Neurospora crassa OR74A: one gene and its partners. Each later gene encodes a partner of the first gene's protein in a complex. Links are inferred from orthologs where the notes say so. Each region holds a gene or a part of one and is shown on either strand. Other genes may lie near its edges.

What was found.
Region 2: un-17 (region 1) and NCU08353 share a complex: the UniProt entries of both Saccharomyces cerevisiae proteins name them as parts of the cleavage and polyadenylation factor (CPF) complex. The link is inferred for Neurospora crassa OR74A from reciprocal best matches to the Saccharomyces cerevisiae genes PAP1 and YTH1.
Region 3: un-17 (region 1) and NCU03114 share a complex: the UniProt entries of both Saccharomyces cerevisiae proteins name them as parts of the cleavage and polyadenylation factor (CPF) complex. The link is inferred for Neurospora crassa OR74A from reciprocal best matches to the Saccharomyces cerevisiae genes PAP1 and SSU72.

What each region holds. Positions count from the first base shown.
Region 1 is NC_026503.1:4,127,052-4,138,122, forward strand, and holds un-17 (Poly(A) polymerase), read right to left. Parts: upstream 6,811-11,071; 5' UTR 6,251-6,810; coding exon 5,351-6,250; intron 5,302-5,350; coding exon 4,303-5,301; 3' UTR 4,080-4,302; downstream 1-4,079. Other genes in the region: NCU08981 (dml-1), read left to right, coding at 1-11, 68-270, 409-1,479, 1,575-1,851; NCU08982 (hypothetical protein), read right to left, coding at 1,957-2,712, 2,905-3,729; NCU08984 (hypothetical protein), read left to right, coding at 7,633-7,674, 7,736-7,893, 7,985-8,874, 8,950-9,074; NCU08985 (protein tyrosine phosphatase), read right to left, coding at 9,385-9,833, 9,997-10,192. UniProt on the Saccharomyces cerevisiae protein: Polymerase component of the cleavage and polyadenylation factor (CPF) complex, which plays a key role in polyadenylation-dependent pre-mRNA 3'-end formation and cooperates with cleavage factors including the CFIA complex and NAB4/CFIB.
Region 2 is NC_026501.1:5,650,853-5,661,724, forward strand, and holds NCU08353 (mRNA 3'-end-processing protein yth-1), read right to left. Parts: upstream 5,267-10,872; 5' UTR 4,947-5,266; coding exon 3,993-4,946; 3' UTR 3,756-3,992; downstream 1-3,755. Other genes in the region: NCU08355 (hypothetical protein), read left to right, coding at 376-414, 517-619, 701-847, 924-1,480; NCU08354 (hypothetical protein), read left to right, coding at 1,952-1,984, 2,047-3,555; NCU11325 (alcohol dehydrogenase), read left to right, coding at 5,553-5,585, 5,654-5,789, 5,851-6,162, 6,223-6,755; cys-9 (thioredoxin-disulfide reductase), read left to right, coding at 7,538-7,619, 7,699-8,517, 8,580-8,683; NCU08351 (hypothetical protein), read left to right, coding at 9,510-9,560, 9,676-9,737, 9,806-9,959; NCU08350 (hypothetical protein), read right to left, coding at 10,298-10,872. UniProt on the Saccharomyces cerevisiae protein: RNA-binding component of the cleavage and polyadenylation factor (CPF) complex, which plays a key role in polyadenylation-dependent pre-mRNA 3'-end formation and cooperates with cleavage factors including the CFIA complex and NAB4/CFIB.
Region 3 is NC_026501.1:4,601,179-4,611,774, reverse strand, and holds NCU03114 (SSU72), read right to left. Parts: upstream 5,904-10,596; 5' UTR 5,739-5,903; intron 5,506-5,738; 5' UTR 5,446-5,505; coding exon 5,303-5,445; intron 5,242-5,302; coding exon 4,584-5,241; 3' UTR 4,153-4,583; downstream 1-4,152. Other genes in the region: spa2 (spa2-like protein, variant), read right to left, coding at 1-369, 444-1,451; NCU03113 (SH3 domain-containing protein), read left to right, coding at 7,783-9,570. UniProt on the Saccharomyces cerevisiae protein: Component of the cleavage and polyadenylation factor (CPF) complex, which plays a key role in polyadenylation-dependent pre-mRNA 3'-end formation and cooperates with cleavage factors including the CFIA complex and NAB4/CFIB.

The DNA of each region.
Region 1 (11,071 bases):
GGAATGCCCAGGTAAGCATGTTCATTGATTTCACTTGAAACCGGGGAAACAGCTGACACTTCTCGAGGAATCATATTTTACATATTCCGAGGATCAAGAGCCAGCCGTTAACCATGATATCCACTGGCGTCCCGGCATCGGTGCGGATGGCACCGAAACCTACATGCCGCGGACCGTCATTTACGATCTGAAGGGTGGCTTTGGGTCCATGGCAAAGACGAATGCGCTGTATAACGACCTTGAGGAGGGACAGACGCCTCAAGCATTGTGGTAAGTTGGGCATCAATCTCGGTCTGGTGGACATCTTGCACCAGATTCCGTCATTTTCGATCGACATCCTTCCAGCGTTCAAACCCATCCTCCCTTTCGTCTACCTCCTGACTCACCTCCCCTCCTTTCTCGCCACAGGAATGGACCAACCGTACTCCAAAAACAGCCCGCCATCCCACAATCCGCCTATCAACAATCCCTCGACGCCGGCCTCGAGCCCCCTCCCCTCACCACGGACACCGTCCGCTACTGGTCTGATTTCAACCGGGTCTTCTACCACCCGCGCTCCGTCGTTCAGCTGAACGAGTACGAACTCAACTCATCCATCATGCCGTTTGAGCGCTACGCGACGGGCGAGGATCTGTTTGCGTCGCTGGACAAGGAACATGACCTTCTCGATCGGGACCTGCGGCCTTTTATCGAAGAGGCCGACCAGATGCAAGGGATTCAAGTCATGACAGGCTTGGACGATGCCTGGGGCGGATTTGCGGCAAAATACTTGGAGAGGATAAGAGACGAGTACGGCAAGACGGCCATGTTCGTTTGGGGCAGCGAGCAGGAGTCGGTGATGAGGGCTGGCGGATTGAGCAGGGAGAAGAGACTGCTGAGACTGGCGAATAAGGCAAGGACAATGACGGAGGTGTATAAGTATGCGAGCGTTGTCGTGCCGTTTACGGTGCCTGCGACGCTGCCGGGGAGTGTGGTGCTGGATGCGGGCTCGCAGTGGCATAATACTGCGCTGTCGGCGGCGGCGATAGAGAGCGTCACGCTTCCGTCGCGGCTGAGGGATCCGGCGAACAGGGATACGATGGCTACGCTGGCTGATTCGCTCAATGCGATGGGGAAGCAGAATGTGGCTAGCTTGGGGATGAGCTTTGCTCCAGAGCCGACGGAGGAGGAAGATGTAGTCATGGAAGGGACGCAGGATTTCAGGCAGAGGCAGTTGCTGAACCAGAAGTCGAGTAGACATGCGGCTGTGATGGTGAAGGAGAACCCGGAGGGAGTGTTTCTCGATATTAACTTTACTCCCACCGATCAGTTGGACTATGTCCGTCGCCGTGGTGGCGGCGATGATGACAGACCGAGGGTGTTCAGCCAGATGCTTACCTCGAGAGGTTATGAGATTGATGAGCAGGTGCAGGAAGCCAAGGAGGCTGAGGAGGACGAGAGGTTCCGCAGGAGGAGCTCGTACGAGACTGTTATGAAAAGGTACGTTTTCTGTGTTTTTTTCTTTTCTTTTTTTTTTTTCCTTTTTACTTTTTTTTTTCTCGTCATCTTTTGCTAACAAAGTCCCTCTCATGCAGTTATCACACACCCCTTCGCTTCCCTCTTCTAGACAGCTTCCCTCAGATCTTCAGGGATGACAGTGGTGAGCCACTGAAGAGAGGAGGAGCGATCAATGTCACTAGCAGTCTGTCTACGGATGCTTCAGTGCATAAGAGGCTGAAGTCGTTGAGGACTACGGTTGGTCGGTCGATTGGATTGGAGGATAGGGAACAGCTTGGAAACGAGCTGGCGGAGATGGCTGATGAATATCATGAGGGGTGGTCGAGTGGAAGTGATGATGGAGATGACGATTGATCGGTCGACGCAGCAATCAACAACGTGTTCAAGCGTGAAGCAGACAAGACGATTACTCCCCGAGGTCCTTCCGCCTTTACACCAGACATTTCACTACCTGGGTATCTAACCATCCAAACCCAACAACGCCCCAATCAAATCCCCCTCCCCTTCCATCTCCCAGAAATCCATCACCACAACTCCCAACCTCTTCCCCTTTAACCCGTCCGGCCCATCATCCCTCAGCAACGCCAACAACTTTTCGTTAACTCCTCCTTTCACCGTTCCACCGCCAGTCACCTTGGGGACACCTTGCCGTTGTTCTTCCGGACCAAGCGCCATAACCTCCGGCGTAATGTTCGGTTCATTCAATACATGTTCCCCCGAGGTGAACGTGATCCACAACCCATCATCCTCATCATCCTCCCCGCGTGCACCCAGTCCTGCCCCGGGACCGCTCGCAGCCCGTAAATGGCCCTCCACAGCCTCCCACTTAGCCATCACATTCTCCGTTACACTTCCATTCATCCCACTCGGCAGGTCGTTAGGTTCAAAGTAGTCCTCTATATACGCCGTCTCATTCCTCTTTTCCCCCTCTACCACACCCAAGTCAAGTTGGTTATAAACCAACTCAAAGCCTCTATTGTTCTCCGGCCATAGGCTAGGAGAAAAGTTGAGTCCCGGTACAGCCAGCTGTTGATCGAGAGGCAAGTCGGGCAGGTCGAAGCGTTTGAGGAGGACGATCTTGCCACGGGCGTCTCCCAAAGTGGGCGGGAGGGAGTGTGACGGGTAGATGAAGCGGCGGGCGGCCGGGGTTGTAAGGAGGGAATGAAGGAGGCGTTGGACTTGTGGGGTGTTGGAGGCGTGGGAGCGGGTTGGGTGCTGTTAGTCTGTTAGCGAAGGGAGCGGGAGAGGCGGTAACTTAATGGACGGTGATGATGACCCCTTTTGTTTACATATAACCCAAACCAGTTATACCCACCCCAGATGAAACCCAAAACCAGGGCATGAAAATGTGTAAACGAAAGAAAGAAAGGAAAGAAATAAAATGAAAAGTAAAGAGAAGAAACTCACCTCATACTGCAAACTAACCATCACCACCTCCCCCGCTCCCCTCCCCTCCAACCAACTATAAAACCCAAACAAAACATCCTCCACCGTCGCCACCTCACTCAACAAAGCCATCTTATGCCAAAACACCAGTCTCGTCCCTTGTCCTCCTCCCCCTTTCCCACTCCCACCCGTACCTGTATCCAACGCAGCATACCGCAAATCAAAGAACCGCACCCCCGCCTCCAACGATTCCAAAATACTCTTCTTCTGACACCTAAACCATTCAGCCGGCAAGTAGCTCGGATTAGAAGGGATCGAGTTCCTCGTCTCAGTAGTAAAGTTCCAGGTTGCGCTGTCGTGGGTTCCCGGAATGGCTCTGAGGCGGGTGAGCGGCAGGGAGTCCGGGAGAGGGGTCATCCATTGTGCGCGACGCTTGGAGGCTGCGGACTTGTTGAAGGAGGAAGGGAAGGTGCCGAAGATTTGGCGGCCGTCACCGAGAATCTTTTGGAGGGCCAGGTCGGCTACTGAGGAGAAGGAGTCTTCTTCTTCTCCAGGTTGTGATGGGGAAGGAGAGGTTGTTAATGGGTTGCCAGTGGTGAGGTCTGTAAGGAGGGAGAAGAAGAGGAGGTGAAGGACCCAGAAGAGGACGGCCATGATGCATACGGAGCTGAGGATCGCGCGGTAGGAGGTTGTGGGTAGTAGGCCGCGAAAGCGCTTGAAGCGCCGTGGTGAGGATGAGGGCGTGGATGCCGCTGCCACTGTCGGTGAGGGAAGATGAGGAAGACTCCGAGGAACTGGCGCAGAGAAGAGCGGCGAGCGCCCAGGTTTTAATTCCTGGTGCATCATCGCGGCATAGCGGATGGAAGAAGCAAGTGGCTTTTGGGGTCCTCGAGGGTGATACCCGAGGTACTTCGAGCGGGTTTACACGGCCAAAGTACTTGAGACAAGATAGAATCCTCAGTGAGATGTTGGGTTGAGGATCTCGAGACAGGTGTTACTGTGTATCTATTTGTAGGACATGCGACCGACGATCTACGGGGGCGAACGTGCAAGCTTTGATTGGCTGCTGGCATTTTGACGTTGACATACTGAGGCGCATATGGCGTTTTCCCCCGAGTACAACGGAACTAACAGCTCAATTCATTAGCAGAAGCAATCGACGCAGCAAAGAATTTGTTAAGATGATGTATAATAGAGCAAGAAGTGAGATGAAAAGTCACGGACGCAAAGACCACTGCGAGATGGAAACTTGGCTTAGTTGATGGGGCACTTGTGCCCCGAAAAACTAAATTTATTAGTCTAGCAGATTTAGCAACTCTATCTTAGATACATTTCTCTACACCTCGCGCGTGGTACTGCTCGCACATAGCAACTAATTTGTCCGTGACCGCCAACAAAATCTGTCTGTACATCCTTCGATCAGTGTTCGCTCTTAATGGTCGGTGGCGCGGTCGCCATCTGTTGTCGCTTGGCCATCGGGCCGTTCGCATGTTCCCCTTCGGCCATACGCTTCTTCTTCTTGACTGGCCTAACAGGCTTCGTCTCTCCAGGCTCGAAAACGTCGTCGGGGAGATCGAAATTCCTAACGTGCTGGATAGTCAATCCCATCAACTCTGCTTTGAAGATGTCGTTCGAGGTGCACATTGCCTTGAAGTCGTCGACTTCTCTGGACAGATCCAGAGACTTAGCTCCCTCTACCAGCTGCAGGCCGATGTAATGGTTAGTGGTGTAAATCTCAAGCTCCGGCTCCTTCTCCGGTATATCCTCCAGCTTAACCTTGTCTTCGTCGTAGTCGTTGGCCTCAGGCTTTACAGAGTTGTCCTCAGGCTTTAGAGGTACCGTTCCTAGATGTACCACGTCGTTCGGTTCTTCCTTGACAGCCGGCACAGTCGGCTCCCGTGCAACACCATCCTCCGTCTTGATCTCCGCCTTGACCTCAACCTTGCTGTCGTTCTTGGCGCTCCCATTCGCGGCTATATCCGTCGGCTTGACCATGTATGTGAGATTTCCGGTTTGAATCTCTTCGACCTGAGCATCCGTCTTGCATCGGTGCACTCTGTCGTAACCTTTGTTGAAGGGGCGGGCAAGGGCGATGGAAGGGTGCAGCTCAAGCTTCTGGACCAGAACACGCACTCTTGACTCGACGAAGCCCGACCAGGTATTCTGCGCCTCTTTGGTCCTGCCGGATGAGATGACCGTCAGGTAAAACTTGAAGCCGTTGGTGAAAAAGGTGTGTTTCTCGAACAAATCTTTCCAAGGCCTTTTACCCAACATGATCTCTTCGGAAATCTGCACCCCCCGTTCCAGCTCCTGTTGAATGACCGCCATTGAAGACCTTCCAACATTGTGTGTCGCGCACATGGAAGGGTATGATGGGGTGATGATGGGCATCTTGTGATTGCGATCACTCGGGTATATCTAGTCTGTGGTGAGACATCAGCGCGACAATGATGAGGGGTTGACTTACCTTGGGATTCCACACCGCTACACGCGTAATGGACTGGTTGTATTCGATATTCTTCAGAAGAACCGGGAGCGGCCATGGCCAGTTGAGCATAATAGTGAAGAATTTCCTGACGATGACAGCACTCGTCGCCTTCGGATAGAGTTGGCATACTCTGGCGACCAGCATAGCCCAAGCCACACCACCAGGATAACCCATGATATTGGCGTAGATAGCCCTTCTCTGAGCCCAGAGCTTGATTGCACGAAGTGCCAGCTTGAACGTCTTCTCTTCGGGAACCAGCGCAAGGATCTCGTCGGTTACGCGTGTTCCGTTGAGCGAGCGCACCTCGTTTTCGGACAAGCCGCGCAGGAGGTTGTTACTGTTCAAATTCCAGTCCTTGTCGTCAGGAAGTTGACGAAGGCTCTGGATTGAACAGAAGATAAGATCTATGCTGATGCCCGAATACTCGAACTTGATGATAGGAACGAAGGCCTCGGGTACTGGAGTCAGGTCGGTGATGGCGCCAGGGGGAGCCATTTCGACAAGAAGGTTGGGAAAGATGTCGAAGTATTGCTTGACGGTGACGTACTTGGGTACAACGACGAGGGTATCGATATCGGATCCTGGCCCATACACACCCAAGCGAAAACTGCCATATGTGAATATTCTGCCTCGAGCGTCGCGAATCAAAATGGCATTGTGCGGCTCCTTTTCCTGCGCGGCCCTCTTCACGAATTCATCAGTAATGCGCTGGAGATCTGCGAGCACCGCCCATCGCTTATCAGTTTCGGCCTGACTTTCGAAGGTGCCCTGCGCGCGCAGCTCTTTGAGAAGGGCCTCGGTCTGTCGTTTCTCGGCGTCGGTAGGTAGCGTGGTCGAGATAGGAGGCGTTACGCCCAAGGTTTGTTCGGGGTTCGACATGGTGGCACGAAGCGCGGTGGGACGAGGAAGCGTGCTGGATGCGCCGCTAAGAGTATCGAAGACGAAATATGTCGTGCAGGACTGATCGATGACGCTGGTCGCGACAAGAGGAAAACTGGATCGCGCGCGCAAAAGAGAGGAGCGCAGGCGCAGTGAGAGAACGCTGACGGGCGAAAATAGAAGTCTATGATGGGATTGAACAGAAGGAACCAAGCAGCTCCACGTAAGGCAAAGAACGCTCAGGTCATGATATGCTGTGCTTTTTGTTGATTCGAAAGATGGTGATACCGGATAGCTGATTGATTCTGATATCGACCCTGGGGCAGTCGGAGAAGCCGAAACCAGACAGGGTGATCGATGGGGATGGATGAAGGGGCTGCGTTAGGTAGGTTGTCGCAGAAGACAAAAAGCACGTCGCCGACTCGGCGCGTCTCGGTTCAGCCTGGGTGTTGAGCACGGACTCCCACTCACCACAAGTCTGGCAGCATGATTGGCGCGAAGCAATGTCCTGTTATTTCAGAGACGCTGGACACTGCAACTTGAAATGCAACCTGCAGGAATCACCCGTAAACCTCTGACGAGTATCCTGGGACCCGCACGGGGATACCTAATCTCCACTGAAATTCAAGTACTTTGGTACCCCCACCATAATAAGACGGGTATCATGTTGGCTTAGGTTTTGGTGTCTTGGTTCCGACAATTCAGGGAGTCAAGCTCTGAAAAGCTCAATCGTCACATTGCAAAGGCCGCTGGACTGCCGCATTTCAGGTAGAAGAAGGTCTTCCCCAGACAACCCGACCTGTTCCTTCAAGTACCTAGGTAGGTAGGCGTAGGATGTCCGTCTGTCCACTTCTGGGCATCTTACAGTACATTCGAGTAACGCCATGGGGACAGGTGAGTTGGCAGAATCAGTTCCATTTTTGCAGTAAACATCGGTCTAATATTCAGGGACGTATTCTATTATATCGGCTGTAAGTACCAATTCAACTTTGGTCTAATGCTAGGTACGTACCATCGGAGTGAAGGTCAAATGACGATAGAGTAGAAGTATGGATTTGGAGAACAGATGACATTTCAAAGCTGCCGCGGCCCCTGTGGAAGATGGGATCTGGCCCCAAGCGGCAAGCAAGGGCAAGACCGGACCAGGTGTCCATGCATCATCCACTGGAGTTCCCCTGGGAGGTCCCTTCCATAGCGCGGCCCCGCCCCCACACTGGCCCTGCAGGCCCCTGCACATGACGCTGCCGCTAGATGGAGGATCACCGTAACAGCCGGGGCAACGTTGAAAGTTTACATGGGTGTCGCATCTGGATTCTCTCGGCCTCCCCTACACTACATCCATTTTGCACCACTTCCACTTTGCTTAGTCTCAATGGGGAAGGATGAAAAAGACATTACTTCTCTGCTTCATCCACGGCTTCAAGGTATGTACAATGAGATTAAGCGACGCGCCAGCCAAGATCAAACTGACATTGTCATGCAAAGGGAGGTGAGTCGACCTTTGGCGACAACTATGCCTTCACCGAGCACCTCCGCCAACTTGTCGCGGCCGACCTACCCAAGATAAACGTCAACGTCGTGGTATATCCCAAATATGAGACTCGAGGGGACTTGGGCGAGTGCGTAGCGCGATTTCGAGATTGGTATGTGCTCATCGACCGCATCCGTTCCTTCATCTGTCACATGCTTGAAGCCCCGAACCATCCCTAACATGGGTCGCCCTCGCTATCACAGGCTCATGAATAAAGTCATCGACCTCGAAGTTGCCGCCGGAACCTCATCGCCCACCATAGATCCCTCGGTCCGCGTCGTTCTAGTCGGCCACTCCATGGGCGGCATCGTCGCCGCCGAAACCGCCATCGAGCTCTCCTCCGACAAGCCTATCCACGGCAGCACCGACCCGGCCGTCGAGGACCCGAAGCTGGACCATCGCACCGCCGACTCCGCGCCTCTCCATCGACCACCCAGCCCCAGCTCGCTCATGTTTCCCTATATCCAGGGCGTCCTCGGCTTCGATACACCCTATCTAGGCATCGCTCCTGCCGTCTTCGCTCATGGCGTCGAGGGTCACTATGCGACGGCTTCGGCGGCGCTGTCGCAACTGAGCAGCTTGACAAGTTTACTCGGAGCGAAGGGGGCGCAGGTGCAATCGAACGCAACAACGCAGAAAAGACAGATGGCCGCTCTGCCGGCGCCGGAAAAGAAGGAGGAGCAGCAGAGGAATAATGGCAGCCCCTGGGGGAACTGGGGCAAGATCGCCATGGTCGCGGGCGCAGCGGCTGCTGCAGCGGCTGGAGGAGCGGCGGCGTACTACAATCGAGATCAGATTACGCAAAGCGTGAGCTGGGCGACGTCGCATCTCGAGTTTGTCGGGGTGCTTTATAGAAGAGAAGAGCTGCGGCGCCGTGTGGCGTACATGGTGCGGCTCAACAATGACCTTGGGGTCGGTTTCGGAAACTTTTATACCCGGTTGGGACGGGCCGCGGGGTCAAAGGAAGTGAGCATGGTCGGGACTGTGATGGGCAATGAACGGACATTTTGCGTCCTGCCTAAAAAGGATCCCGCTGGGGACTGGAGGGAGGCCATCAACGATAAGGCTAAGGACGAAGTAACGGCACATATCTGTAAGTGCACCCCTCCCAATCTGTTGGAGCGAGGTCTTTATACATACGTGAAGCGAGTACTGACACTATTCATAGCCATGTTCGACCTGAAGGACAACCCTGGCTATACCAAGATGGCGCATGATGCTAGAGATATGATTGTTAAGTGGTTGCGGAACGACTGGTATGAAAGCAGTAACGGTGATGTCATTCGCGCATAGAAGCGCACCCTAATAACCGTAACCTTCCATCTAATAGCCCAAGTCATTTCGTTTTTTTCCCATCATAATCCGTCTATCATTATCTTTAAATCACGGAAACTCTTTGAAAGTATTATGTATATTCCCCCGATTAGCTCGGCCGCAGAATCCACAGTCCAAGTGGCTTGTAAAAATCATTTACCGTGACCACGACATTTCAACAGCAGGGGCGGGTAGGCTGTGAGCATACGTCGCACGCCAGTCCAGCCCAAGCCAAACCCCTCCTCTTTACAACAACCACAGCCTAGGTAGTCTAAAACTCTGTAACCCCTCACTGCCTCTTCTTCTCCTTTTTCTCCTTGATAGCACCACCACCAACCTGCTTCCTCCTCTGGCTCAACATGTGGCTATACAGCACCACCGAGCCAGGGATATACGACAACAGCACAGCAACCAGCGCATAAGGGTACCAAGTCGCGAGCTGATCGGCCGGACCCACGAGCGCCTTGAAGATCATGGCCACCTCGGAGCTGATGCCCATTGGGTACAGCACCAGGAAGGCGCTATACCGCAGCCAGTGCAGCCAGTAAGGAATGAAGTCGACCTGCTTGAGCGCAAAGTAGCTGTACCGGATCACCTCGGTGGTGGACCAGGCCGTCAACATGGAGGTGTACCAGGCCGAACTGTTGAGGTGCGGGAAGGGGTACGAGATACCCCAGACGAGCATCAGGCGCGAGGCGACTTGCATGACGGTGGTGAAAATTGGGGCGGGGACGATGCCTGTTTTTTTTTGTGTGTGTGTTAAACATCGATTAGCGTTTGTTTCCCTAAACAGGTAGTAGAGAGAAAAGGTAGAGGAGGGGACAGAGATAGGGACAAGGATGAGAGATGGAGACTGAGACGGGATCCGGGTGGGGGCAAGCGTCGGGCAAGCAAGGCATACCGGTAAGAGCATGGAAGATCTCCATGACAGCAAAGGTCTGCGTAACACGAGCAAAGTCATCGACGACCAGCGGTACAAAGGGCGCGCCCTTGGCAAAGTAGACGGACGCGACGCGGCCGAGGATCGTGGCCCAGGCGACGGCCGAGGCGGCATTGTAAAGGACTAGGTAGCCCTTGCGGAGAGCTGAGCCAGCCATTGTTGGTGTTGTTTGGTGTGTGGTGTGGTGTCGATGTTGTTTCGGTGATCAGTTCGGCGGACGTGGGAAGATGTCGACGGATGTTAAGGTAGGTAATGATTTGATGCTATGAACGTGATTGACGGACAAGGTAAGTAGGTGATAATGGATTCCCCAACAAGACGGGACGAGACTGCTCCGAATGAACGCGGGGACAACAATTTTCGACCCGAACCGAGACCGCGGCAGGTGGATTCGCGCGTCGGGACAGGGGTCGGTTCCTTTCCTGTGGGGTAAGGTACTTGACTCCGCGGGACCCACTATCTTTCGGCGGCCTGGTGTTTAGAACGCCGATGTCACCGGTGGGTTGTGAGCATTCACATGTGAAAGAAATTCAACGCGAGAAAGGTAACTTGAATAAAGGGAATACACGGTATTGAGTTGAACCTAGGGTCATTGCCTCCATTTTGAACAATTCGCCGCTCACGTCTCGGCGTCCATCATTCTCGGCAGAGAACGGACGTCGATTGTTACCGCCCAGGGCTGGGCGCAGTACACATTCTGCCGTGTTAACCGGCCATGACGAATCTTTTTGATACTCGTCTTATTTTCAGTCCATAGTTATGCTGCCGAAGTCCAACGTCGTTGAATCGTCCTTTGAACCCAAGCATAGCTCAAAACTGGTATTGACCACTCCAATATACAAAATACAATTGCTCAACTCCAAATCTTTCTCCCTAGGCCCCAAAACGCCTTGGTATCATATCCCACGGAAAGGAAAAAGACAATAAAACAACATGGGGTTATTACATACAACAAAAACGGTTGTCATGTCATCGTTAAGCGTAAATGAAATATATCCTTCAGTGCTTCCTCCCAAAGCCTCCAATCTCCCTTGTT
Region 2 (10,872 bases), on another chromosome or scaffold:
TTCAGCAGATAAGACCTTTGTCCACCTAGACTTGTACCAGTGTTTCCGAGATTCATCTTCGGCTTGACCTTCTGATTTGAGACAAGGGAACGTTCCTCCCATGCAATTTCCCACTCGCAGCCTAGTTCCATTCGTAGAGGTAGAGATGTGAGGGTAGTCGCCGACATCGGACCCCTTTCACCCTGTCTCGTTGCCTCGTCTCTCATCCAATTTTGGTCTATGGTAGTATCTCTCCAGCCAACAGTACGTGGGGTTGAGATGATATGAGACCAATTAGTCGGGTATAAAGCTCTGGCCGTTTCCACTTGAACTGTTCGGCTTTCCCTCTCCCCTTTTCTTCTCTAAACCAACATCGACAACCCCCATCACTTAACAATGGCGACCCAGCAGAACAAGGACAACTGGTCCTCAGAGGTAAGCAATGGACCAGTCACTGAATGACCACAGTTCTTTCCTCTTTCCGATTTCTTTCTGCTTGAATGTGAATGGATGGCTGACCCGTCAAGAAACACGCAGGCATATCAATCCGCCGCCTCCTTCGTCCCCAAGCTGGCCACGAAGATTGTCCAATGGCTTGATCCCCAGAAAGACGATGTGATTCTGGACATCGGTTGTGGTGGTGAGTTTTGGCCCCGTCCCGGGAAAAATGACGCTCGCGAACAAGGCGTCACTGACAAGTGATAAAAACTTTCCTTTCCAGATGGCGTTCTTGATTTCGAGATCGCCCAGGTCTTTGAGGGAGGCCGAGGACGCTTGCACGGCGTGGACAGCTCCAGGGCCATGATTCAGGCTGCGCAAAAGAAGACATCGGATAATGCGCATCTGAAAAGCACCTGCACGTTTGAGGGTAAGTGATGTGACTGTCCTGTCCTGTTCCTACCGTAAAGTGTATGACTCACTCTCCCTCCAACACATTGTCGTAGTTCTCGACGCAACCGAACTCATCACCAAAACCCACCTGCACTACGTCCGCTTCAGCAAAGCCTTCTCCAACGCCGCCCTCCACTGGATCCTGCGTCCCGAAGAAAAGCGAGAAGTCTTCTTCCAGGGCGTCCGCGACGTGCTTGCCCCGGGGGGCGTCTTTGCCTTTGAGATGGGCGGACTAGGCAACGTGTCGGAGATCCGGGCCACGCTACTGGCCGCTGTCGGCAGGAGAGTCGGTTTGAAGCGGGCACAGGAGGTGGACCCCTGGTTTTTCCCCGACGAGGAGTGGGTGAGGCAGATGATGGAGGAGAAAGTAGGAGGATGGAAGGTGGAAAAGGTAGAGAGAGAATGGAGGCCTACAAATTCCGATGTGGGTGGCGTGGAGGGATGGGTGAGATTGATGGCTGCTCAGTTTTTGCAGGCACTGGAGAGCGAGGAGGAGAGGGAGGAGGTGGTCAAGGAGGTGGTGGATGTGCTGGAGGTTGTATGCGCTAAGCCGGGGGGAGGGTACATGTATAGTTATGTAAGGTTGAGGGTGCTTGCTAGGAAGTTGTGAGGTCAGATTTTAGGGCTATTTGGATGTTAGGGTCAGATCTAAAGACGTGTTGAAGCTTCTTTTGTGAGATGTTGATTTGGTGATAGGTCTAGGCTAGACGGATAGGTCATCAAATTTCTCATTCTTAAAAGCGTTATAAAAGCGTGTGCTTTTCAGCGTGTCACAGGAATGACGTTGGTGGTGGAGAGTCCCCTCGCCGGGGTAAAGGCTGGGGTACCTTGTTAGCTCAGGGCGCATCACCTATGCAGTAGCTCGGCTTGATAAGGTGCGCAAGGGTTGGATAGAAGCGATAAAAGAAAGCTTCTCCCCATCATCATTCCTATTGAGGCACTGTCAAGTCCGGCGCAATTCATATACTGCGACACTCGACTCTGCCAACTTACCAATCCGCGCCTCCTTGTTCACTGAGCTTGTCGACCATCACACTGTCGCCACCTCACAGGACTTGAGCAAACGCATAATTGAAACAACATGTCTGCGGACGACCAGGCTTTTCTGGACGTGGTAAGAAAACATACAAAGTGCCCGCATAGAACTCCACTAACAATGGCCTGGTTCGGTTATAGTTATCGTCCCTGCCCGGCGATATCAAGCGCTACTCTGAAGATGTCGCCAACATCGTGAACGAGAACGTCGACAAGATTGCCGAGACCGTCAGACACACTCTCGCGACCTCGCAATGGGTACCAGAACAGATCCGCCCTCGGCTGCCGCCACCAGCGCCTTCAGCCGAGCTGCCGATTTCGCTCTACAATAGAGTTGAGAGCTGGGTATTAAGAAACAAAGTCCTTACCACCGCCATAGTCCTAGCCACCGGATCCATTCTATATCGGTCATACACAGTCTCGGCTCACGCCAGGAAGACCAGGCGCGCAAGGCGGGCGCGCAGCGGAGGACGCATGGATGTCGTTGTCATTGCGGGATCTGCCAACCTACCTTTGACACGATCAGTTGCGCTGGATCTGGAAAGGAAAGGCTTCATCGTCTTTATTGTATCCAGCGGACCGGAGGATGATATTGCCATTCAGAATCTAGCACGCCCCGATATCCGACCGTTGGGCGTCGACACCACCGATCCTCTCAGCGCCAGCGCCTCCATTGAGCGTTTCGCGACCTACCTTCAGTCACCCCATGCGGCAGTCCCCAACAGCAAGCGACATCGGTTGCACCTCAAGGCCGTCATCCTCATTCCCTCTTTGAACTACCAGACCTCGCCCATCGCTACCATTCCTCCCTCAGGCTTCGCGAACCTCTTCAACACACACCTACTCCACCCTATCATAACCCTCCAGGCCTTCCTTCCTCTGCTTACCGCTCGCCTGGGTCCTACTCCCTCGGCCGAGTCATCATCCTCTGGAAGCGACAAGAAGAAAGACAGCCCCAAAATCATCGTCTGCACGCCCTCCATCATTTCCTCCATCAACCCCCCCTTCCACGCCCCCGAAGCAACCGTGTGCTCCGCCCTCTCCGCATTCACCGAAGTCCTGACCGCCGAGCTCCGCCCGCTCGCCATCCCTGTCACCCACATCCAGCTCGGTACCTTTGACTTCGCTGGCTTCACGCCCGCCTCGGCCGCGCGTGAACACTGGCAGGAGCGGAACTCTCAGGGCGTCCCGCTGCGCGCGCTGGAAGCGAACCCCCAGGACGCCGAGTCCCTGCTGCCCTGGCCCGACTCGGCCCGCCACGCCTACGGCAAGAATTTTGTCACCCAGTCGAGCTCGGCCATTAGCACGGGCCGCATCCGCGGGATGCGCGGCAGCTCGTTGCGGGAGCTGCATAATGCTGTTTTTGACGTGATTGACGGGTCCATTACCAAGGGCACTGTGCGCGTCGGCCTCGGCGCGAGCGTGTATGGGTTTGTCGGACGCTGGGTGCCGCGCGGGCTGGTGGCGTGGATGATGGGTATCCGGACGGTGGACGAGCTGGCGGCGTGGCAGTCGAGTCATAGCTCGTTTAATAGCCCAAGGTCGGGTGGCTCGGTGAGGTCTATGGGAAGCGAGAATGGGGATGAGGAGGAGGTGGGGACTGGGGCCCGCACATCGAATGAGTTGTTTGTTGCGGTGCCGATGGAGTAAAGTCTTCATGGGAATAGTTTGGAAGAGTACAAAAGAAGGCAGTGTCGACAAGAATGGCATATGCCATAGCATCTCAGACGGTGGGTTGATTATCATTTGGTTACGGGTGTCCTAGGTAGGGAGCGGCGTTCATGTTTTGGGATCTCGTCCCTCTCAGTCTATTTTGGAAGAACATACAGATCACAGCTCCTCAAAACTGTCAAGCTAGCAATTTTTATAAGAATCTCACAAACCCTGTGAATGTAAACCTGACCTACAGCTAATACACTAGATATAACCTTGCCTTTGCGCCGTGACCTATTCCTTATTCCGTGATGCATACCTGGTCTTTACTACCGGATTCCTGGGCCTTCTCATCGTCCGAGCACTAGCCTAAATATGTCGCTATGTTCATGTACCATTTGACCTCCCCTGGCCGCTTTGGGACCAATGTTCTCTTAATGACCTTTACCCCTAAATCCTCCCCTTCCTCTTCCCCTCCATCCTCCTCGGCCTCTGCCTCCTCCTCCTCCTCCTCCTCCGCCTCCAAAGCGATCCTTATGGCGATCATGCCCGCCACCGTCCCTATCGCGTCCCTGCATCATCATCTCCCTCTCCCTGTTATCCCGATCGCGCTCCCTCTCTCGGTCCATATACTCATTCGCGCCCGTCGCCTGCGCCATTCCACCACCCATACCATTAGCATCGCCCATGTGTTGTTGTTGTTGCTGCTGCTGTTGCTGCTGCAGCAGCATCTGATCTCCCTCCCCCTTCGCCCTCGGCTTCTCCATATCCTTATCCGCCGTCCACCTCGGATGCGCGCCCTCCTTGCAGCCCTTCCCATCCGGACAGAAGCCCGCCAGGTAATACAAACACAGCTTCCTCCGGAAATGCTTCTTGTCACATCGCGGTCCCAGCGGACAGAACCCCCTCTCGTAATGCGGGCACGGCGGCAATCTCGACAGCGGATCAATGTGCAGATACAGACACTCGTCCCCGTTGCTGCAGTACCCGTTCCTGACGAAGAAATTGCACTCGGGCATCTTGCGCAGGTTGTACTCGTGCAGGAACTCGCACGATTCGCCCTTTTTGCAGAGGCCGCGCAGCCAATGCTTGCAGACTAGCGAGCCGAAGCCGCCGCTGAAGGTGTTACCGCCGCCATGGGTGTTTTGGGACGACGCGGTAACGTGGCGCTCGGGGCAGTGGGATTTGAGGGGGCAGTTGCCTGAGGCGTAGGCTTTGCAGATGGGTCGGTCGGCGGGGAGAGAGTGCTGGTACGTGCGCTGGAGGAAGGGCGTGAAGGAGAAGGTATAGTGTGGCGCGGTGTGGTTGAGCATCTGAGTGACGAGTTGTTGCGGTCCTCCTGCCCCAGAGGGGAGGGAGTTTGTTGTTGTCTGTGTTGTTGTCGCCATCTCGGCGGATGTGTGAGGGGGGGAAAAAGGTGGTTCGCCGGTGCGATTCGGGCTTCAAGGTGGGTAGGCTTGTTTTGTCGCGAGCGGTTCACGATCGGTTCGGAGAGGTATGTAGCTGGGCGACCAGTCGTAATGAATCTTGCCTAGAGAATGCGCGTGGCTTGTGTTTATGCACGCTTAACCAAGAGTCGTATTCTTTGCTGCGTTTGCCCAGTTTCAAATTCGGCTTTGGTCGGGAGAAGTTCGCACAGCAGGTTGCGCCATTCAAAAAATTGAAGCAAGGTGTGGTTGAGAGTTTGGAGAGAAAGAGTGCAACAAGTCGCAAATCGATTGTTGGAAATCGATAAGACGTGGACTCACCGAGAGATGCAAGGTGAGTGACCAATCAGAGATCAGCTATCCCGGTCTGGGCTACCTCGGCTTCCCTTACACTGGGCTAGCGGTCACCCCCGCGATGGCTATTCGGCATTTGTTCAACCATATTGTACCCTTGTTTAATCATATAGGTTGTCATTCTTTCACTGCTTGTGTATCTCACTCGGTGTTTCTGCGTCTGCTTCTTTCCAGTGTAACAAAGCACTCTATTACTCCAGGTATCCTTCCCAGATGAGAGGCATTCAGGTGGCACAGTATGTTAAGGTATGTCCTATCTCGATCATCCAGGACATCTTCCCATTTCGTGGTTCTAACATTAGCCCTTAACTCAGAGCCCGCAAGAGCTCAGGGTCACGGAGCTTCCAGACCCTACACCTACTTCAGATGAGTACTTGATTGAAGTTCATGCTGCGGCAACCAACTTTTTCGACATTCTTCAGATTCAGGGCAAATACCAGAATCAACCACGTGCGGCTTCTTTATTGAGTCCCGCTTACATTGCATTCAGTATGCTGACGTTGCGTCTTAGCATTCCCCTGGGTATCAGGTGCCGAGTTCGCCGGCGTGGTTCTCGCCACCCCTTCCGGCCTCAAGGACCCCAAGTTCCCCGTCGGTTCACGTGTGTTTGGAGCTAGCCAGGGTGCGTACGCTACCAAAGTCAAAGCCAAGGAGACGGCCCTCCTCCCAGCTCCCGAAGGCTGGTCGCTTGTGGATGCTGCCGGCCTCTTTGTGACGGCACCAACCAGCTATGGAGCCCTTGTTGTTCGGGCCGGCGTCAAGAAGGGCGACTTCGTCCTTGTTCACGCTGCGGCCGGTGGTGTAGGTCTTGCCGCAGTCCAAGGTTAGTGGCATACATACCCGTCTCGAAGATGAACTACTTCGTTGCTAATCCCACACATAGTTGCAAAGGCGTTTGGAGCAACTGTCATTGCTACGGCCGGAACCAAGCACAAGCTCGAAGTCGCCAAGTCCTTTGGCGCTGATCATGTCGTCGACTACACGGACCCCAAGTGGCCCGAGATGGTGAAGAAGTTGACCCCTAAAGGCAAGGGTGTTGACATTGTCTACGATCCTGTCGGCCTGGTAGATCTGAGCACCAAATGTACTGCGTGGAATGGCCGCATCCTGATTGTCGGTTTCGCTGCCGGCAAGATCGAGAAGGTGGCCATGAACAAGGTTCTTCTCAAGAACATCAGCCTCGTCGGTGTTCACTGGGGCCAATACGCTGTCCATGAGAAGGAGACGGTGGTGACCGTGTGGCAGGGCATCATGAAGTTGATTGCCGAAGGCAAGTTCAAACCGACTGTGTTCAGCGACAAGGAGTTCGTCGGTCTCGAAAAAATTCCGGATGCATTGATCGCTTTGGGGGGTCGTGAGACCTGGGGGAAGGTGGTAGTTCAGGTCCCGCAGCAGGAAGGGAAAAGCAGGTTGTAAATTTTATGGATAGCTTCACTAGGTTCCGGTGCCGTGTCGAGTGTCGTTGACCACAAAATCTCCGTCGGCATCTGATGGAAATTGAAATACCTTCACCGATAACCCTAACCCACATTGTGACCTTTGTTTTTTGCTTTGGGCCTCGGCTGCAACCCGCGGACTGGCTGCCTCGGTGACTGCATAGAGCTGCAACCGAGGAGCCTCTAAAAGGCGGAACGACCCCGCTGGATGCAGTGGGTATTTAAGTGGGAATTTTGGTGAGCACGTCAGAGGGGCATGGCCCTGGACCCTGGGCGGTCCGTTAGGGACGTTTCCTCGAATGGACGGCGTCCATCCTTCCGAGTTCGCCCCCAAGCATGGAAATCCAGGCCGTTTTTTGAGGCAGCCGGGGTCTAGATACGGGATTAGAAATCGCGACTCGATTTGAAAAATGGCGCCGGAACAACGCGCCTGATCTGGCATCGCCTGGACTGTCTGACAAGATCGCAGATTGGGAGAGAAAGAAATCTAGAGATTATCAAATCGTTACCTTCCCTTTCCCGTAGATTCTTATTCTCCATCCAGTGACCATCCCCGGCTCTGTTTCCGCCACTTGTATCTTGTCTCTTGTTAGATCCGTTTCCCATTCGAAAACCCCACCAACCGCCAAACTGTTCTCCTCAACCTTTAGAAGAACTCTCCGATCCAGCGCATCTGGTCTCACAGTCGCTGCTGCCGCAACCGCCTTCAAGAAAAACACTCCGGTTCAACCTGCCGAACTTCAGGCCGTCACAAAAAGAAACATGCACAGCAAAGTAGTCATCATCGGCTCTGGGCCGGCCGCCCACACTGCCGCCATCTACCTGGCCCGCGCCGAGCTGAAGCGTGAGTTTCAATGCCATTGCGATTGTCGACGTCAGGTTACAAGGACCAATTCGCTAACAATTCCTCGCCCTTTGTACAGCTGTACTCTACGAGGGCTTCATGGCCAATGGTATCGCCGCCGGTGGCCAGCTCACCACCACGACCGAGATCGAGAACTTTCCCGGTTTCCCCGATGGCATCATGGGCCAGGAGCTGATGGACAAGATGAAGGCTCAGTCTGAGCGTTTCGGCACCCAAATTATCAGCGAGACCGTTGCCAAGGTCGACCTCTCTGCGCGCCCCTTCAAGTACGCTACCGAGTGGTCCCCCGAGGAGTACCACACTGCCGACTCCATCATCCTGGCCACCGGCGCCTCTGCCCGCAGACTTCATCTCCCCGGAGAGGAGAAGTACTGGCAGAACGGTATCTCTGCCTGCGCCGTTTGCGATGGTGCCGTTCCTATTTTCCGCAACAAGCACCTCGTTGTCATTGGTGGTGGCGACTCCGCTGCTGAGGAGGCCATGTACCTCACCAAGTATGGCAGCCACGTTACCGTGTTGGTTCGCAAGGACAAGTTGAGGGCCAGCAGCATCATGGCCCATAGGTTGTTGAACCACGAGAAGGTCACTGTCAGGTTCAACACCGTCGGTGTCGAGGTCAAGGGTGACGACAAGGGTCTCATGAGCCACCTGGTCGTCAAGGATGTTACCACTGGCAAGGAGGAGACTCTTGAGGCCAACGGTCTTTTCTATGCCATCGGTCACGATCCTGCTACCGCCCTCGTCAAGGGCCAGCTTGAGACTGACGCCGATGGCTATGTTGTCACCAAGCCTGGCACTACCCTTACCAGCGTTGAGGGTGTCTTTGCTGCTGGTGATGTTCAGGATAAGAGGTACAGACAGGCTATCACCAGTGCCGGTACGTAACCCATTGCCTCCCGTGAACCTGGTTTGGAAGAGTTGCTAATCTGTTATGCATAGGTACCGGCTGCATGGCTGCCCTCGATGCCGAGAAGTTTTTGTCGGAGCACGAGGAAACCCCCGCCGAACACCGCGACACCAGCGCCGTACAGGGCAACCTCTAGAGTTGATTTCTTGGATAGACAGCGTTTCGCTTAAAAAGTTGGTTCTGAAAATACAGGAATGATACCCAGAGTATGGCCGGCAATTTTGAATGCTTGAAATTTTAGATGTGCCATGGAATATAAGAGAGATGTCGGTTTTTGCCGCACCCGGGCAGTTCGTATATGTAGTGTTTATACCAAAACACCAGCGAACAAGGATTGGTCTCGTTGGCCTTGTGGAGCTATGACCCCCTACCCACGGAAGCACTTAAAAGTTAACAGCCTTAACGAGGAAGTCACGGATCATAATGTGATTCTCTTACATCAAATTGTCACACGAAGGAGGAACAGCCGTCAAGCTCAAGAGACTTCTATCGATCCTAACATTAACTCGTGTACTCGTCAGGTCTACAAATCGACGGTCTGACTAGCGCCCCGGGCTATGTGGATGGGATAAAAATTTAGCGTTGAAAGCCATGCGGGCCTCCCGCGCAAGTGTGGGTTAGGTACAGAAGAAAATGGTTATCTGTTTGACTGGCATCACCTTTCTTCAGTCGTATCGCAATGCGAACAACCTACTAGTTATTCAAGTGTTTGTTGGAACAGGCAGGAAGCTGTTCTGGGATCATCGCAGAAATGTCAGGTGCTTCCCCTCACTTGGCGTAGAGGTCTGATCTCTATTTAAAGAGGGCTTCTTCCCTCTGTTCTGCTCCCTCTTCTTCCTCTTGTTCTCCATCGCGAACACCAATTTCTCAATTGACCTTAACCGGCAGACGCTGCAGAAAAACCAGCCATAACTCGATCTTCCCCTTCTTCCAACTTGATCAATAATCACATCCTCCTTAAAATGTCTAGCGGAAACGGATACAGCTACAAGGGCCATGGCACCAACAGCCAGGTATGGTGTAGATACTCTTTCACTGTCGCTCACGTCTCCTTCATTCCGCCGGATTGGCCAATCTCCAGCCCAGTATAGAGGCAACTAGCAACGCTGAGACACTAACTTGCTGTAGGGTAACCACTACTGCGCCCGTGACTACGGCAACGGATCCAATGCGTATCACTACTCCAACACGTAAGAAAGACCTTGACTATCTCTCTGGGGAAGTGGAGCGACTAATCATTTGGCCAACAACTTGACAGTAATGGATCCTACTACTACAGCAACCCGAACGGTAGCACTTACTACAACAGCGGCAGTGGATCTTCCACGTACACCTCGCCCAGTGGTAACTCGTACTCGAGCTCCGGCTCTGGTTCTGGCTCTGGCTCCGGCTCTTCTGGAAATTCCAAGTGAGATGTGAGGGGAAATGCCTAAGAGGTGATGGTTTGGAAGCCAGGGAAGATACCCCGGTGGATGTTCGCTAGGCAAGGTGGAAATTAAAGAGGGTTGACAGGACCATGGCAGTTTTGAGAGCCAATTTCGTTGCACGAAAGAGACGCATAGCATTTGACTTATTGGTATGAACCCAAATGGAAACCCTATTTCACTATTCTGCTTATCTCGATGCTACCAAGCTTGTGATCGTCCATCCAAATTGTTCTTCCAAGTGACGCTTCAACATCCCGTAGGCTCAATCCTCTTTCACGTCTCTTGCCAACCAAACAGCTTCGATTCATCCATTCTGCCCGGTTCTAGTTCCATAGCGAAGCACTCAATCCCATAACCGCAGAAGCAGCTATCATCGCTGCTCTGCCCAGATTCAACACACCCCATTGATCAACCCAATACTTTGCCCCGACTTCCACAGCCTTCATATCCACCTTTTCGCCCAAGCCAACCGCATCGTCACCTTCCCTATAAGAATATTCCTCCTCTACGTCTCTTTCCCTTTCCTTCTCTCTTTCTTTACCCTTCCCCTTACCATCTTTACCACAACCCTCCCTCCCCTTCTCCCTCTCCATACCCTTTCCCCTGACCGACTGCCTCCTCTTCAGCCCCCCACTACTCCCACCACCGCCCAACTCCCCAACCTCCACATCCACTCCCTTCTGCCTCATAGCCCTCTCCACCGCCTCCGCCCTCGCCACCAACCTCCTCTCCACCCCTCCGAGCACCACCCACCCATACGGCGCCATACCCAACACCAACAGCGCTCCAGCGACAGCGTACATTCTCCCCCTCTTCACCAACTTCAACGCTTGCATCCCTCTCCCACCACTCACGATTTCCGAAGAATACCGAACACCAAAACGCCAGGCCAGCAAGA
Region 3 (10,596 bases), on another chromosome or scaffold:
GTCCGTTATTTGCTGCTGTTCTTGCAAAGATTGTCGCAGTTCCTCGTTCTCTCGCGCCAGATCGCCGTCTCCTTTGCCGCCTGATTGTCGACCATCCTCGAGTCCTTCCCGAAGCTTTCTCGTCTCGTCCTCATGCTCCTCCCTGATGCGGTCGAGTTCCCTTTGCAACGAGTCGTTCAGTTCCTGGGCCTCTGCCAGTTTCGTCTCCAAGCTTTGCCTGGTCTCGTCCCAATCTTTCTTGTTGCCATCCCCGGACTGCATGTTATTCAGCTCCTCGTCCTTCTTCCTCATCTCCATCTCCATGTTGTCGACCTTTTCCTGCAGCTCTCTGACCTGATTTTCGTAGTCCTGAATAAGCTTCCTGTCGGCCTACGTTGAGTTAGCACATGACAGTATCCCCGAGGGCGAAAAAAAAAAAAAAAAAAAAAAAAGGCGAAACTGACCTCGAACGCCTGGCCCATAGACCTCCTGCCATTGCCATACATATCACCACCCTGACCTGGGCTCATAAGGTTGCCCTCGTCGTCCTCCTCGACCATGGTACTCTTGTTTGGGACGATTGTGTTGCTCTGGAATTGTTTTGGCATGGGACGCCCATAGTCGCCATTCGGCGGCAGGCCAGGAGATGGGGGAACGCCGTAGCCACCATTCATCATAGGGGGCATCGGAGGACCGCTCCGTGCACTTCGTACTGAGCTCGCCTCCGAAGGGCGTCTGTGACTTTGACCTCTGGGAGGGAAGCCGCCCATTCCGTTGTTTGGTGTTCCCGAGCGGCTTGGCGGGCCACGCATCGCAATCGGGCTGGCATTGAGAGGCATCTCCAGATTGGCGAAGTTAGGATACCGCCTCTCCAACTCGCAGAAGACATCGGTGGCGAGATCGCGAAACCTAGGAGGACCTAGGGACGACAGTTTCTGGCGAGCCTGGTTCCGTTTAGGATGGAAATTATCCTGAGGCAGAAGAAAATCGGGCGGGGCAGTCTCGGGGGGAGCATTAGGTCCTCTTCGGGCCACCTGTTCGCGGCGCTTCAATTCATCATAAACATCGGTACTGAGCTCAAGAAACTGCACCTCAGTAAGGCGTTGCAGCTTGTCGCGGGCCTTGTTCGGCGGCGGTTTCGGATTGCCGTCGCGTGAGGTGGCTGACAGATAGCGCTTGAGCGAGATGTAGTGGTCGGACAGAACCAACTCCTGGTTTTCCCCTTGTTGACTCTGGCTCTTTACACTCCTCGCATACATGCCGGTGCTGGATCGGCCAACGGACGGTGGAGGAGAGGGTGCCCCATTCGGGCTCTGAGGCATCGGGGAGAAGCCGCCGTTCATAGCGCCGGCAGGGTTCGCGGAGTCGGGAGGAGTATTGTATTGTCCGAGATTGTTGTCGTTCGGTGGATGGTTCCAGTCGCTTGGGGCGCCTTGAGAGATTGGTGACAATGGTGCATTGCGAACATTCATGGTATTCGTTCACCGCCCGCTTCCAATCGACCAGTCGGACGCAATAGGAAAGATGGACGTGGTGCGCAAATGACAATGGAGGCTTGATGCAATTGTCTTGTCGTCAACCCGTGTGTGTCCCTAGTAAAGGCGAAGGTAGCCGGTTCGTGGATACTTCGCGGTCTCAGCAAGTAGAGGTACAGGCTCCCAAAAGACGCGGACTGTCGCAGAGCTGGTGTTGAGACAAATCGAGCATATGCTGTGCGCCCTCGACAGCAGAAGGGTCTCGCGGGTGTTCCTCGTGGCAGGACTTTGTGTTACTGTGGGAGCATGAAACGCATATCGGTCAACCTTTGAATTCCCCTTTTGGAGGCGCGAAAGGGAAGGGGGACAAAGGGAGCGGGATCATGAACAGGGGGGGTGGTACACTACACTTATGCGATGCCCTGCGCGATGTCGCCAAACAGAGTGGCTGTTCCAGTTGCCGATCGAAAGCCAGGAGTTGGAATGATGGGAGAGGTTTCGCCTCAGAAAGAATGGACTGGTCGACGGCTTGACTCGTAGCGGTGTTTTCAGATGCCCCTTCTTTGGATGATGGATCGTGGCGATCTTTTGGGTGGTAATAGAGGTAGCCCTCAAGGTTAACGTTCGGCTTGGCGGGGGGGTGTACCGAAAGTGTGGACAGCGAGCGAGTGGACGGCGTCTTTGCTTGTTAGTGCCACTCAAATCAGAGCAGCTCTAAGACAGGCGAAGGGACGTAGCGCCGGGTAGGGTATGTAGGTAGATGGCGTCCAGATCCAGACGGTTGATGGCGGAATTGGTGCAGTGGCAGGACGGGAGAAAACGAGAGACCAGGACGGGATTGTTGCTCGCTCGCCATACGGTGCTCATTCTCTTTTCACCTTTCGCTGGCCAGTTCCTCACGATGCCGGGTAGCGAGGTGACCACGATTCTTGGGAGAACGGCTCCTCTACTGTGTTCCGGGCGCGCAATGGATTCAGTTGGAAATGAGGAACCCACGAAGAGCCCACCACGACTTATCCAGGATCGAATCCAGCAGAGCCCCTGATCATTCAAGGCCCCAATATGTACAGTGGACGATGTTCTCCGAGGAACAGTAGGAGGCACAGTGAATGGTTTGAGTGAGAGCGCCCGGGGGCTCTGACCACACTGGAAATGGTGTGACCGTTCAGCCAATCAGAACCAATCCCTGGTATACTTGACCCATCACTGCCGGCGTCAGGGGTGAGTTCCCTTCCTATTAGTCGCGCGCTACGGCAGGTACGGATTCCCACAGACAATGGAAGCCGGCGCAATTACCTTAGCTTCCACAAAGGTGCTTGGGCTGCCAGTGCATGCCTCTACGTAATTACAACTAGTGTGGGGTGGGAGAGCGCGGAGAGTCATTTCCAGAACCAAAGTCAAACACCAACGATAGGTAAGGAGTGGTATCTTGCACATCTCGGGACGTCATGTCGTTACGGGGACGATAGGAGTTGGCTCATCGGTGTCTGACGGCAGTGAACACGATGGACGGTCAGCACTCCACCACTTTCCACATTACCACGGACTGTCGTTAGACTTCTTCTATGTACAACACTGAGGTTTGAGATTATATATGCGGTCGCACAAAGAAGCAAAGTGCCGGGCATTGTTGGATAAGAAGCACTGCCCTACCAAAACCATAACAACCACATATGTACGCAGCTATTAGAGGGGATTCCGAAAGGACCGGGACCGGGACTGGGACAAAGGAACCGAGCCACCATGGTCTAAATGGAGAGGGAACTGGACCCAGATCCATTCCTTGTCGGCCTCGAATCCCCTCATATTCGCATCTCGATGTCGGGCTTCCTGGGCCCTAGCCCCGGCCGTCGACGTACAGTGGGAAGTGGGAACAAAAGCCTGATATCAATCTCGGCCTGGCACTTAGTAGGCGACCGAGCAGCTGTTGTTCCCTTTTCCCCATGGGAGCAATTTAAATAGTCTTGTGAGACACCCCGACAACTTCCTCTTTCGAGCCCCTTTCTCACATGGTATCCTGGCCTCAGAATGCGTCTTCATCTCTGACGGGATCGCCAACTTCAAGCCCCCTTCGCATTTCTACTATGGCAGGTCTCTCATGTTAGTCAACGGTGATCGACTCTGCGCCGCTGCAGTGGTTTATCATTCCACTAAAACGTCTCGTTGTGAAACAGCCCAAGACCGGCAATCGTCTGCCGAAATACAATGCAATTCTTACTTGAGACCGACGATATAGATATTGAGATTTATCCACATGGGTATGTAGGCATACCCGCATCACATCAAATGCCACCTCGACCTCGGGCACTCCCGCCCAACACCCCAACATGATAGGTAGTGACAACATGCATTAGCAGTAACCTTAATGGTCTTCGTCTTCCAAGTGTGTGTCCAATGGCCACCACAGCCCCATGTATTTCATTTTTGACCTTCGCGCGTTTAGTTGCATTGTCACAAGTAGGCCTGCTCACTGCGGGGGCACGGCCGGTTGCCCGGTTGTGCATGTTTCGATATTTTCTAGATGCTGGCAACCGTTGAGTACCCCAGATCCCAATAAGCAAGGAAGATCTCCAAAATTCTGCTATGTTTTCTTTGCATCCAATGTTGCGTATAATGAACCGTGCGGCTCGTCATCTTAAAATGCTTTTTGGGATACCATGCAGGGTACTCGTCAGGTGGGCCGATGAGCTCCCATCTCCGAGCATGTATGCATGCGATATTATTATGTTTGTGATAGAAGTAAGCATATGCGTAACAAACAAAATGCTTAATTGGCGGTCTGGCTGGTGGAAGAGGAAATGGCCTGCCAAATCACGGAGGTCGACATATTCTGAGAAAACCAGGAGGGGTGCGACCTCACAAAATAGCAAGTTGAAGCCAATCATGGCAGCAGCAGAATTCATAAATCCCGGATAACAACGGCTTGTTGATAGAGATTACGAGTCCAAATCAGCATTATGTTGTGACGGCCAAAACGTCTTGTTCGTCTGTGTTGTTTGGTCATCAATCATGAACCCAAAAAGATGTACCCCCCACCCTGTCCGTAACCGCGATTACGCCCGCCAGGCAATAAAAAGAACATCCAACGCCTTACGATGCACGAGCTCAAACAATACGCCAATTCAATGCTTAGAACCAAGCCAAAGTCCATGTCGCAGGAAGATTCGGCCATCTCTCCTGCCACTCGGCCAGGACGTCCGGTACGCGCTCATCGAATCCTGATCTGGCGCCTACGCTTCCCGAGTCAAAGGCAGAAGCGCCAACCTTCTCCCGCTCCTCGGCAGCAATCTTGTTGAGTGAGTCTGCCAAATCGACAATGGCTCGCCCTCCCACGGATGCCTCTTCATGGTTATCCTTGATATCGATGTTGATGACGTGAACAGGCCTGTTAAGTGGCGAGCCACGGTTGAGAAGATCTTCAATCACAGCATCCCAACAGCGTTCCTCACAGGTGATGACAACATCAGCTACGCCGCCCTCCATGCCATCAGCTCCCTTGTCATCCTTGTGCTTGGTTCTAGGCATTCCAATCTGCCAGTCCTGCCATCGCTCAGGGCCCCACTTGACTTGGCGGTTTCTCCCAAGCATGTTTAGCAGTCCATTTGCGCGATATAAGCGAGGGTCTTTGGCTTCCAACTCCCGATATATACTATCGTATGATGTTTCGTTGAACTTGTAGACATTGGGCTGTGTAATGGACGGCCCGGGGAGACGGACAAGAGAGCCTGTACCAAACGAAATCACGGGATAATTTGCAAGAGAGAGTCGCAAGTGACCTTCCATGGAGCTGGTGAGGGTTAGACGGGGTCATCCAGTTGCGTGACGATGCGATGCGTAAAATTGCTCACCGATTCTGGTTACTGGCGCAGACGGTGCAAAACTTTAGCTTGAAGCCGCCAGAGTCTTCACGCCCACCGTTTTGACCATTCTGCTCATTCTGGTCCGGCTTCGATGAGCTCGCGGCACCAGTTGGGGTATCTACAGCAGACATAGCCGGCAGTTGCAGGTAACTTGTTACTGTGGCAGATGTGGCATGCTTGACTGGAAAGACCTAGAAAGCGCAAGATGCCAATGTTAGTTATCAATGCGTTCCCTTCTGCGATACAGACATGGCAAGTGCAAAAGTGTAGGTTGTCCTCGGTACACATCAGATAAAAAAAGCGTATGTAAAAGTTTGTCATCAAACGCCAGACATAGCAGGCTACAGACAGCTCCAATAAAAAGATCATCATAAAGGAAAGAGACGGTTGATAAAGGGAGAGCGGAAAAGAGCGCAGGAATTACCTTTCAAGCTTCAGCTGAGCGCAAAGCGCAGACAGATGATGATTAAGTTAGTCGAGGTAGCCTGCTACCACACATATATAACTTGTTAAATGTCGTTGATGTCCAAACCTGTTCACCAGTTGCTGCTGGCGCGGAGATTTTGGACGGTGAAAAGTGGGATGTGGAATTTGGAACAAATCTGTTTGGTTACCGACTGCGAGGGACAAGTGGTGGTCATACGCACATAGTGCCCCATCTGACCGCTTTCCAAAATTAGAACGTTTCAGTGTTTCAGAGTGAAATGGTGGGTGGCTCGTGCGTCTTGCAGCCCGTTGCCCTTCTTTCCGTTCTCGTCAACTTCCCCCACCTCTCGAGTCTGCAGCGGTCCGCGGATATGCACTGCAGAATCACAGTGAGACGATCCCCAGGTATTTTTTTTTTCTCCCAGGACCCAAACCTCACGGGCCTCGAGCCTCGGTCACCATGCGTATCGATGCACTGTAGAATATCGTGCACAGAACATTGGAACTTACCTTTTCAATAACTTTTCTTAAAAGGTCCCACACAGGGAATGCGCAACTCATAGCTAGTGCCTTGGGAAATTCCATGGGTACCACGTTGCTGTTCGGGACGCATTCACGGAGCCAATCACCCACATCGAAGGCATCGAGAACATCCAATGGTGGACACAAACATGCAGTGATAAACATCCCTGTTGGGACGGGAAGTTGAGAGTTTCGTGCGAAGTTTTTCTTCGTTGGAACATGTTAACCAACAATAGAGGCACACGTAGAAAGTACATTTGCAAATGGCAGTATTACCCGCGTGGTATATCCTGTTTCGATATGTGTTAGAACGTAGAGGTATTTTGGGCGTAAAATCAAATTCAAGTTTTAATCTCCGTGGTTGACACACAGAAACTGCAGTGTGTCCTGCAAGTTGCCCGCCTTTGTCAACGAGAGCTGTCCTCTGAAGTGGACTTTTTGAGCCCCCCATACCTAACCCCGATTCGTTACCCAAAAATTTGCCAGCCATCGTCTAGGTCGACACTAACAGGATAAGCAAAGAGGTTAGGTATGTTGGTCCAAGGCGACCGAGTCCCGTCCTCAGAGGTTCGACTGATTGATTGCAGGTGACCAGCGGTTGCTATTTGCCAATGAGAGGAGCAGGCCTAAACCTGGAGTAAACCTGCGGCAGCGCGCTTAACTTTGTCCAAGTTGTACTAGAGGTATCCCGTCGTAAGTAGAGGTAGTAACTTGATGCGGCACCCCCCCCCCCAAATCTACCTACCTGTTCCTGCCTGAGATTCTGCCTCTTTTTCTTCTCCTCTTTTCTTCGAATCCCCCTCCGTTCCCACCATACCCTGTCTATATTGACAGCTCGCAATCGCTCATCTCAGCTTGCCGACCACACAAGGCCTCTCCATGTCTATACAAGCTCTTTAAGCTGACAATTGCCCACCTTGCTACCCCAGTGTGCCCCTTCGCACACTTTCACCACTATCTTTTCTACATTGCGTCCCTCACACGGGATCCCTTAACGAATTCGGCCTAAAACCGAAACACTCAGAATCCAGAGCCCTTACATTTCCGAGACTTCAGACGACGGACAAGCGAACCGTTGAACAAGCCGTTGGTAGTTGTGGCCGCTTTGCAAGCATCAAACATTTGCAAATCGATGTCCGTGGTCCACACAGCTACATGCCTCATCTACACAATTGGGCGCTATAAGTTTACCGTCTCCCTAGCCCTACGAATCTACGATACACGGACGGACCTCAAAAACCACACGTATTCCCCGCCTCGACAGCACAAGGCAAAGCATTTCCGCCCGTCCACCACAGGCTGGTCAGCCCTTCCCTTCGCTGCCTAGAGGTACTCGGTCTTCTAACCAGACTTGAACCCTGGCCAAAAAAACACCCTGGTTCCCACGGCAGCGACGGTCCGGCGCCCTGGAAAGGATCCACAACAACAATTGATTGTCCGGGCGGCGCATTCCAGGCACGCCAGGCACTGCTAGGCTATAGGCTTTGCTAACCCCCTATCTTTTTTCCTTTGCCTCGACCATGACGGCGATCATATCGCCAGCCTCGTCTCCAGCGACCTCTCCGCCCGCCATCGACACCTCGGCCTCGACCTCAGCCGCTCATCCCCCACTTCCTCCGCTCATGACCTCGCCGCCCGCTCGCAGGAGCGCGCTACCGCGGCCAATGTCGCACGCGTCCAAGAACCGCCTGTCGCAGTACTCGACTGTGAGCTCGATTCCCTCACGCTCCCGGCCGCCCTCTCAACTGTTCCCCATCTATCCATCCAGTCTGCCGTACACGCTGGTGCGAGACTTCGCCTACCCCGTGGGTCATCCTATGCACTATGGACCCCCACCGGAACCTTCGCGGCCACCCTCAGGCATGACTACCCCAGCCAGCGAGCAACGGCGCCTATCTGACCCTCCGACATCTTGGGATCGCCACAGCTGGGAGAACTCATGGAGCAGCGACGGCTGGGGACGGGCGAACGATCTCCCCGCGATGCAGTTCGCCGATGGTCCTCCGTGGAGCGAGGATGAAGATCTTCAGAGCCCTGTGGTCAGTTCGCGACACAAGAAGAACAAGTCAGCTGGCGGCAGTGGCGGCAGTGGCTATGGTGCGGGAAGGAGCGGCGGTGGTTCGGTCATGAACCCGAGCAACTACGACCGGGAGAGGGGTTACTACGTTGGCACCAGTGGGGATGGCAGCGAGCGCTACTACGTGAACCAGGGAGGCGAGGCTAACGGGCCGGGCGGCGAGTACGTGACGTATCCGGCCGATCAGGCACGCCACAGCGCATACCAAGTTGCCGACCAACAGCCACGCCAGTACGAAGACGATTACCCATCCGACTTGGACGACTCCAGCCCTGGTGGCTATCACGAGACGGACGAATCGCGTTATTCGCGTGATTACCAGTTTACAATTACCTCTCCCGATGAGGAGATGCACGGTAAGGCCGTGGCGCTGTACGACTTCCAGCGGGAAGACGAGAACGAGTTGCCTTTGGTTGAGGGTCAAATCATCTGGGTGTCGTATCGACACGGACAGGGCTGGTTGGTTGCGGAAGACCCGAAAACGCAAGAGAGCGGACTTGTACCAGAGGAATATGTGCGGCTGCTACGCGATATCGAAGGAGGTATGAACAGCCTCACCGGCCAGCTTAGCGAAAGCCCTGTTAGCCCGGTGGAAGCTGGAACACCGACTCAGGCGGAACACACTGCTGCTACCTCTGGCGGATCTTTTGGCCACACTCCCACACAAAGCCTAAGCTCCAACAGTGGTGGCGGGTCTGGTGTGAATGGCAACAACAATAACAACAGCAGCAACAACAACAATAATAATAACAGCAGCAACAGCAACAATACCCACTCGACACCAATCTCAAGCTCCAATACCAATGGGTATGGACACAGCCACTCTGGGTCCGATTACAAGTACCATCAGCCGGTCGTATCAACCTTCTCAACGTCAAGCAAGGACCTCGATCCCTATCCGCAACACCTTTTGGGAACACAGGCTGGCCAAGCTCCACCGCAGGTCGTCCACTATCATGGACAACGGGGTGGCAGTCAAGCGAACACGCCCACGAACTTATTTCATGATGCCGGTTTGATGCGCCGCGGCAGTCAGGACACTGTCGGCAGAAACGAGAGGAGGGGTAGTGAGCAAGGGACGTTGCAGACCTTGCTTGGCGCGAGGCTGGAAAAGACAGCGAAAGAAGCTGCAATAGAAAACCAGAGTATCAGCGAAGAGGCTGAGCCGGAGGTCGCGATGGATCTCAAGCCACAAAAGACAGGGGAAGCGGCAGCGGAAGCGGACAGGTGATGAAGGTGGAATGTGCAGGGGTGGTGGTGATGATGATTGCTATATGCGACACGACGCAATGTCCTGCTGAAAACTGAGGCTGAAAGCGGGCTCAGTCATTTAAAGCGAAGGGAGTATAAGGCTGGAGAGGGAGCGGTGATAATGATCGAATAATCCCCATGTAATGGACGATAGGGAGACTCAGGCTACTGACATGAGCATACTTTATCAGGGAGCGATGTAGAACGGAACATTGCGACTTAATGACGTCCACTTTCTTGCATACTCATCCATCATTCCTGTTCTCGCTCTCTTTGCGCTTTCGTTGGGAGTTTGCATTCTTCTTCTTCCTGTTATTTTCCGTCACCATCTGAATTGGGTAGCAGCGCAATCGAGATAATCAAGGGCTGAGGAGGAGCTAGAAGGGGAGAGGCAGGAGTACGAGGAGCTAAAGTAAGCCGGGATATCACTTATTGTCCAAGCAGTTGTTCTGTGTACAGATTGCAGAGACTGACAGCGTGGTCTGGTCGAACAAAAGGAATTAATACGGTGCTACGGAAGCTATACGTAATGCACAACGCTCAAAAGTCATTCGTCATATTCCCTAGCCACTGCCTTTGGACTCTGAAATTGATGAGTGAGCCAAGGTGCTAGGAGCAGGCGTCAAATCAAGAATCAGTACACTGCATAAAGACTAGGACCTTACTAGTAGTAGCATGTTAATCGAGCCCACCCGAACTGCACCGATATCTCCGCATCCTTTTGTTGGCAGCCTGGGTGGTAAGTACGCAGTATACTGAGAAACCCACCCTGGATATGAGTACACAAAGTGTCAAGATGCGGATTCAGAATAGTAACGGTTGCGGAGTTGGTTGAAGCTGACAAACCCGTTTCTCTCGCCGGCGGGAAAGAATCCGATGACGGCTTTCAACATGAGACTTTCGATCACGCCTGGAGATCGCTGCATGACGTAAGCCCCACCCACCCGAATCAAGCTCCCCACGCTTCCGAACCCGCGATTGAAAAAGGTACGGGGACCCCAAAGGA